Saccharomyces cerevisiae S288C: one gene and its partner. The gene in region 1 interacts genetically with each later gene. Each region holds a gene or a part of one and is shown in the gene's direction. Other genes may lie near its edges.

Region 1 (5,428 bases):
TCGCCCCCATCTTGTGTGCTGGTATCACCGTCTACAAGGCTTTGAAGTCTGCTAACTTGATGGCCGGTCACTGGGTTGCTATCTCCGGTGCTGCTGGTGGTCTAGGTTCTTTGGCTGTTCAATACGCCAAGGCTATGGGTTACAGAGTCTTGGGTATTGACGGTGGTGAAGGTAAGGAAGAATTATTCAGATCCATCGGTGGTGAAGTCTTCATTGACTTCACTAAGGAAAAGGACATTGTCGGTGCTGTTCTAAAGGCCACTGACGGTGGTGCTCACGGTGTCATCAACGTTTCCGTTTCCGAAGCCGCTATTGAAGCTTCTACCAGATACGTTAGAGCTAACGGTACCACCGTTTTGGTCGGTATGCCAGCTGGTGCCAAGTGTTGTTCTGATGTCTTCAACCAAGTCGTCAAGTCCATCTCTATTGTTGGTTCTTACGTCGGTAACAGAGCTGACACCAGAGAAGCTTTGGACTTCTTCGCCAGAGGTTTGGTCAAGTCTCCAATCAAGGTTGTCGGCTTGTCTACCTTGCCAGAAATTTACGAAAAGATGGAAAAGGGTCAAATCGTTGGTAGATACGTTGTTGACACTTCTAAATAAGCGAATTTCTTATGATTTATGATTTTTATTATTAAATAAGTTATAAAAAAAATAAGTGTATACAAATTTTAAAGTGACTCTTAGGTTTTAAAACGAAAATTCTTATTCTTGAGTAACTCTTTCCTGTAGGTCAGGTTGCTTTCTCAGGTATAGCATGAGGTCGCTCTTATTGACCACACCTCTACCGGCATGCCGAGCAAATGCCTGCAAATCGCTCCCCATTTCACCCAATTGTAGATATGCTAACTCCAGCAATGAGTTGATGAATCTCGGTGTGTATTTTATGTCCTCAGAGGACAACACCTGTTGTAATCGTTCTTCCACACGGATCCACAGCCTAGCCTTCAGTTGGGCTCTATCTTCATCGTCATTCATTGCATCTACTAGCCCCTTACCTGAGCTTCAAGACGTTATATCGCTTTTATGTATCATGATCTTATCTTGAGATATGAATACATAAATATATTTACTCAAGTGTATACGTGCATGCTTTTTTTACGGCAGCATTTTTTTTTCAACTCTGATCGCCCCTTTACTGCTCCCTCCGCCCAAATTCCATTGCAGTTCAAATGTATACTGAAAAAAACCCCATTGCTATTGTTAAACAGTGAACTCTCTTTTTGCCCAATAATAACATTATAACAAGTAACTACCAGCACCATAACACCGTGTCCTATCCTGGTATTAATTACTACTTGAAGAACGACTACATCGCTTTTTGCAACTACAATTAGAACGCTCCGCCCCTTCCTTTTGACGTCGTATAAGTGTAGTTGGATTGCAATTGCATAGATACAGGAATTAGTTCAAGCCATTCCTAACGAGGAAACGATACATTCTAGCAAATCTACGCTTTTCTGACTTTAGAAGAGCAAGCCAATAAAAAGCCGGAGAAAATAGAAAGGTAATAATGAATCAGTTGACAGTGAGTTATGGCCTAATTTCCCCAGATTACTGCACTTCCCAAGATGCGCACATCTTACCGATAACAAAGATTCTGTACCCGGATATACCTGGTAAAAACTATTTTCTTACTTCAGGAAGGGATGGTTCCATAATTTTGCACAAGAACACACAGCTCTCGAACGAGCCTGAGACTGCTGCAACTACCATAAAAAACGATGCGATAAGAATGCAAGTTCATAGCGATTGGGCAAGCGATCTAATACATGTTAATATGAAAAATTCAGACCCATCTGCAGGGGACACATTCATATCAGTAAGTCACGATTTTTCGATAGTATTAATTAGTGTGAATGCGCAGTTAACTACCTGGGATAAGAAAATAATCGGTGACCACGACGATTATATCAAGTGCATAGTGCCCATACATTATGAAATGTCAAATGACTATGAATTGGAAGAACAAGAGGGTGGTCCTGATAATGTACACGATGGAATAAATAATGGCATTGTTGTTGATGAACAGAACAACTTTCTTTTTGTGACAGGTGGTCTAGATAGAAAAATCAAACTTTGGTGCCTGAGCAGCGGGCCAGAAAAAATGGCTACGCTACTACACACATTTGATAATGCACAATCAAACGACACAGGCTCAATATACTCCATGAGTCCCATCATCCCAAAATACAGTTTTGATGACAATCAAACGTCTCGTCCCTTTGATTTTGTTGCCGGAGACTGTAATGGTGATTTGATTTTTTATTCGTGTAAATATCGTAAGGAGGTGATAAGAATTCAAAACGCCCACAGAACAAATATAAAAGTAGTAAGAACTCTTGATGACTCCACACGACTAATCAGTACCAGCTCAGATGGTGTAATAAATGTATGGGACTTGAATTGTAGGCATGATCAGACTACTGGTGCCCTTCAGCTTCCCAAAAAAATTGGATCTTGGTCCTGGGATTCTTCCATATGGTGTGTCCAAGGAACGAGCCTTGATAAGTTGTATTTTGGTGACTCTCAGGGCAATGTTATGAGAGCAAACTTATCCAGTTATGAAGATGCTAAACTTACAAGAATTTTCAAGCCTGATCATCACCACCATCATCATCATCACCATGAACACGAAGAGCAAAATATATCAACTACAGATGCGAAAGTAAAAAAATATGGTGGTATCCTTGATATTGCCCTTTTACCTAATGAAAAATTGTTGTTTTCTTTTTGTACTGACTCAAATCTAAACGTGCTCGATTTAACTAATAACCATTTCAGTGTCAACGAAGGTGGGTTCGCACTGACCAGAAGCTCACTGCTAACCAACAGGAGGCATGTAATAACGGAAAACACTAAAGGCCAAATGCAGAGATGGGATATCGTTTCATGTGAGCTTTTGAATACTTTTGATTCATCAGAAGGTTCATTTGATGATATTGTAATGAAATACACCTCAAAGGAAATTCTATCTCATTGGTGTACTGTTTCCGTTAAGGTCGGTATGCTGTTCGTAAAAATAAACCCAAAATTTCTGAAAACTGAAGTTTATGGATCCGCGCTAAAGGATTATCAGGTTGTGAACAATATTGAAATTAACTCAGATGAGAGATATAATTTGGGTAAAATTGTTATTAATTCGCTTTTCAATGAGTTCATATCATATGAAGTCCAAAAGGATAAACTTTTAAGGAAGAAAATTTTTAGTTTGAAGAAAAAAGACTTAACCAATTCATTAACCTTGGATACGGGATATAACAGTGAATCAAAAAAGAATAATAAAGATAAAAAGAGAAAATCAACCTTCAAAATTAGTTCAACTCTGTCCATTGGAAATACCAACAGCAGTGGAACTCCACCAAATTCGGCACCTGCAACCCCGGTAATGGCAGAGACTATAGTATTAGAAGAACAACCATTGTTGCAGTCAGCTTCTGATAAAGCAATAGATGACTCTTTAGAACTCGTGCAACCATTGCCTGCATCCAAAAAGCCATATTTTAGAACGCAGAGCTCTGGCTCCTTGTTAAGTAGAAAGTTCAAATCATTTAGGTCTACTTCTGGTCGTGCCACAACAGGGTTAAACACTCCAGAGGAGCCCAAAGGAATTCTGCCAGATACTCCGCACGTTATTAATGATGACTCGGCCTTCCCTCAAGCTATCAATACAACTCAGCAGTCTAAGGATGCAACTCCAGAATCTATGTTATGGAATCATCCTTTCAAGCTAGAGCAAAAACTATCCGCTATTTCATCACAAGATTTACCGAGTAACAACACTCATAACAAACTAAGATCATCTGAAAACTCAAGGGCGAATTCCACGTCAACCTTGGAAGGCAACGAAAAGAAGAAGCCTGAGTTCATGCCCGATTTACTGGAGCAAATTCAAGAGTCTTACAAGCAACAATATATGAATACTTCTTCTCTAAAATACCTGACGAAGAGGCTTCCAGTCACCAAGATAATCAAGGCTAGTTCATGTCCAATTATTAGAGTAAAATCTGCCACGTTAGTTTTGGTCCATCTTTGGAAGGAAGGCTCATGTGGTGGCAGGGTATTATTTTCCACCCTATTACCGCCATCTCATGTCGATAATGAAACCGTCAGCGGCGGCAAAGAAAATTCCAAACCGCCAGATGATGAAGAAGTAGACCTTCAAGCTGTAGATGATGACAAATTAGGAAAATATGATCTTATTGATGGCGAGTTAGGAAGCAGACTCAACAGAAGGCAAATTTTTGAGCAATTGGAGGAAAATTTGCCCTACTGGTTTGCAAAAGCTTTATTTAGAGATATTAAGACGGTGGAAGAGCAACCAAAGTTGAACTTCTTAATCATGCCATGGTCTTCTGTTGGTGGGAGTGAGGCAGCTGGCAATGAAAACAAGAAGAAGTTTATTAGTGCATCAGATACCACAGAATCTTCTGGCAACGATAGTAGCGATAGCAGCCTTGGAAATGGTAATGAAGCCGTTTCCCCATCAACACAGCAACAGTTCCATAATATGCTAAAGTTTGGCCGTCCGAAGACCAGCGAGCAGGAGTTAAACCCCACAGATTTACCGAGAATCTCTGAGGCGAATGTCAAGCTGGTTGCGCCTGGAATGATTAGGGTGAAAAAAATTAAACTTTACGTCGCTGACAGATTTGAAACGAAAACTCCTGAAATGAAAGCAAAAATGGAACCTAGTCTTTGGTTGGATCTACTATGTAGGGGCCAAGTGCTTGATAACGATATGACTTTAAATACCGTTAGAACACTTTACTGGAAATCTCAGGGTGACATAGTTCTAGAATACAGAAGAAAAGTACATAATTCACCGCTAGTTCATGAGGTCAACGGGAATGAGGGGAAATGATAATGTTTATTTAAATTATATTTTGGGGTCTGAATTTGGAGTTTTTAAGCGTAAATATATAGTAACAATACCAACAATAATACTAATAATACTATAATAGTAGTTGCAGTAACAATGACAAGATAAAGAATATTCTTCTGAAATGTCTAAAGAACGAAGAAAAAAGCAAGTACTCATTGGAATGCTATGTGTAACAACTCATACATACTCTAGAGCTTTATAATAATTACATAGACATTTTTATAATATTATTTATTTATCAAATTTTATATTGAATAGGTACCATCAAGTTATGCACACATTCTTCATTAAAATACAGTCTGTAAATAATTGTGAATATGGGCGACCTGAATGATGTTCTTATTATCTCAAATATTTCTAATTTTTTTTAATCATTTTTGTTTCTTTAAGAGCAATTAATTTACAGAGCGGGGAACAGTGGCCAATTTTTTGAGCTAAAGAACAGCATAACAACAAAACAACAGAAAAAAAACACAGCGAGTCTAGTGCAAGTACGTCGGCAAAGTAAAACACAAAGGAGATGAAATTGCACGGCTTTTTATTT
Region 2 (3,675 bases), on another chromosome or scaffold:
GTCCAATTCCAAGAACACACAGTGCTCTTTCGGAGGTCATATAAGCCACTACCCATTCTATTTTTTGTTTAGTCTTTGGGTCAATGTTCTCTGGTGATTTTCCAAAGGTAACAAGATTTGTCATCCAGCCTGCTATTCTTGTGTTCCATGTTTGAAAGCACTGCTGATAGCTTGCAATGACATCATATTGGCCATTTTGTATAGGAGGATCTCTAAATGGATCTTTCAATTCGTGCGTGTTTTCACTGGAAAAGGACGTATACGAATCTTGCCTGCTCAGCATGTAATGGTCTCTCATTCCGCAAAGGCGCCTCCAGAGCTTGATTTCATTCCATGCAACGGGCGCCATCGCACCAACAGCGAAGCATATCAATACGGTAATGCACACTACGGTGGCTATTTTCAGGACATGTCCCAAGATGGAATAAAAGGCCAAAATTTCTGATTGATTGGATGAGCAAATCCCAGTACTGTTGTCAAGGGACACGGGAGGTACGTACAAAACGGAGGTATCTCCGATTATATTGCTGGCATTCACGGCCTTGATATTCTTCCGAACTTCATTGAAGGGAACCGAGATCAGGTTCTTGGTTGTATTCTTAACCTGGGCAAAGTCCGGCGTCTTTGCCGATAACTCTTCAAGCTTATCGTTGATTGAGGAAGGAATGTATAAATTGTGAAGCGCAGATATGGTTAAGTTGACGCTTTTGATTGACGACGTCATGTTACTGTCATCGTCATCACCTGTGAAAAAATTCTCTACTTTGGATGCGGCCTTGATCACTTTATTGATTATTTTGGAGATGTCATTCAAGCCCGTATCCAATTCATTAGCCACACTTGAAACTGTATCATTGACTAAGCTAATCAGTTTTTCTGTAATGTTAGTAGCAACGTCCACGGTACCATCAACGGCACTAACAATCAAACAGGCATAAGTGCCCAAATACAGGTCAATGGCAAAGTTTACCAGCCCCTCGCTCGCATATACTATAAGTGATAACGTCTCTAGCGTAGCTTTAACAGTCTCCTCCATACCCTTCTCGATAAGATAATTCCCCATGATACCTAAATAGTGCGGCGTGTTGTCTGTCATCTTGGAGTATAGTGAATCAATACTGTAACAATTGGACAAAATATACGTTTCCGAGACTTCTATCGCATGTTGTATGGATTTGGAGAAAAACAGAAGCTTCAGCATTGCTAGCAGCAAAACCAAAGTATACTTATTTAGCCATATTTGAGAGAGCCTGTCACCCAATTGCAAATAGCATTTAAAACCGCTCATATCATCAACGTTCACAAATTCGAAAGGGAATCATCCTAACCAAATATTTCGGGATTATCTTAAGGACTTATGTTGGTCACATTCGTCATATATATATACCTCTTGCCAGCAACAGGCCAGTTATAAGTTAAAATTAATATGTGACGCACTTCTGAAACAGTATTGAAACAGTATTGAAACATATGTATTACCCGGACTCTGCATGCTCTGTCGTTCATTTTATTTTCACCTAAACGAAAATCCCGTGAAAAAAATTTATATCGCCTTTCGCTCTTTTGTATGTAGGCATCATCGGAAATTTGCATTGTGTGAAGGTTGTGCATATAAAGGGTTTTGCATAACGGACGTTTTTCACGTACTCCGTCTGAGCATCAAGTGAGGCTTGAGTTTACGTTTGTTTTTAATAATCAGTTTTCATTCTACTATTTTCTTGCGCAATTGCTTATCAGATAGACCTTGTAAACAGCATAGGAGTAAAGACAAATTCGGTGTAGAGAATAAAAGGATGGTATCAGCTTTGAATCCCAGAACTACAGAGTTTGAATTTGGTGGGCTGATTGGTGCCTTAGGCATCAGCATAGGGCTGCCTGTTTTCACTATCATCTTGAATCAAATGATAAGGCCCGATTATTTTATTAAGGGATTTTTCCAGAATTTCGATATAGTTGAGCTTTGGAACGGTATCAAGCCATTGCGCTACTATCTGGGCAATCGTGAATTATGGACTGTCTATTGCCTGTGGTATGGAATACTGGCAGTTTTGGACGTCATTTTACCGGGCAGAGTCATGAAGGGTGTTCAGTTAAGGGATGGTTCGAAGCTTTCGTATAAGATCAATGGAATTGCCATGTCTACAACTTTGGTCTTAGTTTTGGCTATCAGATGGAAATTGACTGATGGACAATTGCCTGAATTGCAATATCTGTATGAAAATCACGTTAGTTTATGCATAATATCTATTTTGTTTTCGTTCTTTTTGGCGACGTACTGCTATGTTGCCAGCTTCATACCATTGATCTTCAAGAAAAATGGTAATGGCAAAAGGGAAAAGATCTTAGCACTAGGTGGAAATTCAGGAAACATCATTTACGATTGGTTTATTGGTAGAGAACTGAACCCTCGTCTCGGCCCATTAGATATCAAGATGTTTTCAGAGTTGAGACCCGGCATGTTGTTATGGTTACTGATCAATCTTTCCTGTCTGCATCACCATTACCTGAAGACTGGTAAAATCAACGATGCATTGGTCTTGGTTAATTTCTTGCAAGGATTTTACATTTTCGATGGAGTACTAAACGAGGAAGGTGTATTAACCATGATGGATATCACTACAGATGGGTTTGGTTTCATGCTAGCGTTTGGTGACTTAAGTTTAGTTCCATTCACCTACTCATTACAAGCGCGTTACTTGAGTGTTTCCCCTGTGGAATTGGGATGGGTGAAAGTTGTCGGTATATTAGCCATAATGTTTTTGGGTTTCCACATCTTCCACTCGGCAAATAAGCAAAAATCTGAGTTTAGACAAGGTAAATTAGAAAATCTAAAAAGTATTCAGACAAAGCGTGGTACAAAGTTATTATGTGACGGGTGGTGGGCTAAATCACAGCATATCAATTACTTTGGCGATTGGCTGATTTCATTAAGTTGGTGTTTGGCCACCTGGTTCCAAACTCCCTTGACATATTACTACTCGTTGTACTTCGCCACGTTGTTATTACACCGTCAACAACGTGATGAGCACAAGTGCCGCCTGAAATATGGCGAAAATTGGGAAGAATACGAAAGAAAAGTTCCTTACAAGATCATTCCATATGTTTATTAAGTTTTTCTACCACTGCTATTTTCTTCATTATCTATGTATGTGTGTATACATGTTATGTATTGGGTGAGTATGAGGAAGAAGAAGAATAACAATTGAAAACGCTGGAAAAATTAAAAGGGGCGGTGGTCTATCTATGCAACGCTCCCCTTTTCGTTACATGAACACATCAAACTTGTATATCCTTTGAGTGTTCTTTAATCAAGTCATCTTGGTATTTTAGTAGCGTTTCCACTACTTTAGGGACAAATTCAGACCTAACCAATCCATCAAAAGCATCAAACCCTTGCGACAAAATCGGAATATCAGACTCGTCATGCATAAACTCTGGAATTTCTAGTTTCCCGTCCGCAAGTATGCCGTCATCATCCTCGTCGTCCTTATTAGTATCCAAATTTGTCACTTTGACGTTCATCGACAACTGTAAGTCAAAGTAGCAAATCGGCTTGCCCTTCCTTTGAGATACGTTGGAGTCACCGGTGATGCTACTCACCTGGGTTAACTCAATTTTGCTCTTCCCATCAGAGGAAACAGTGGACAAACTCGTTAATTTACCGTTCAAGTAGTC

The links. Genes that interact genetically often act in the same process or in processes that back each other up.
Region 2: mutations in DUF1 (region 1) and ERG24 together harm fitness more than expected from each alone (negative genetic interaction), as found in Saccharomyces cerevisiae (one large-scale study listed by BioGRID).

Annotation. Positions count from the first base shown.
Region 1 is NC_001147.6:154,722-160,149, reverse strand, and holds DUF1 (Duf1p), read left to right. Parts: upstream 1-1,512; coding exon 1,513-4,863; downstream 4,864-5,428. Other genes in the region: alcohol dehydrogenase ADH1, read left to right, coding at 1-602; MHF1 (Mhf1p), read right to left, coding at 705-977; protein disulfide isomerase MPD2, read left to right, coding at 5,405-5,428. UniProt on the Saccharomyces cerevisiae protein: Ubiquitin-binding protein involved in the resistance to phenanthroline, sanguinarine, nordihydroguaiaretic acid (NDGA), isopropyl (N-3-chloro-phenyl)-carbamate (IPCPC) and guanosine 5'-O-(2-thiodiphosphate).
Region 2 is NC_001146.8:108,530-112,204, reverse strand, and holds ERG24 (delta(14)-sterol reductase), read left to right. Parts: upstream 1-1,793; coding exon 1,794-3,110; downstream 3,111-3,675. Other genes in the region: pheromone-regulated protein PRM1, read right to left, coding at 1-1,288; HCH1 (Hch1p), read right to left, coding at 3,277-3,675. UniProt on the Saccharomyces cerevisiae protein: Delta(14)-sterol reductase; part of the third module of ergosterol biosynthesis pathway that includes the late steps of the pathway. ERG24 reduces the C14=C15 double bond of 4,4-dimethyl-cholesta-8,14,24-trienol to produce 4,4-dimethyl-cholesta-8,24-dienol.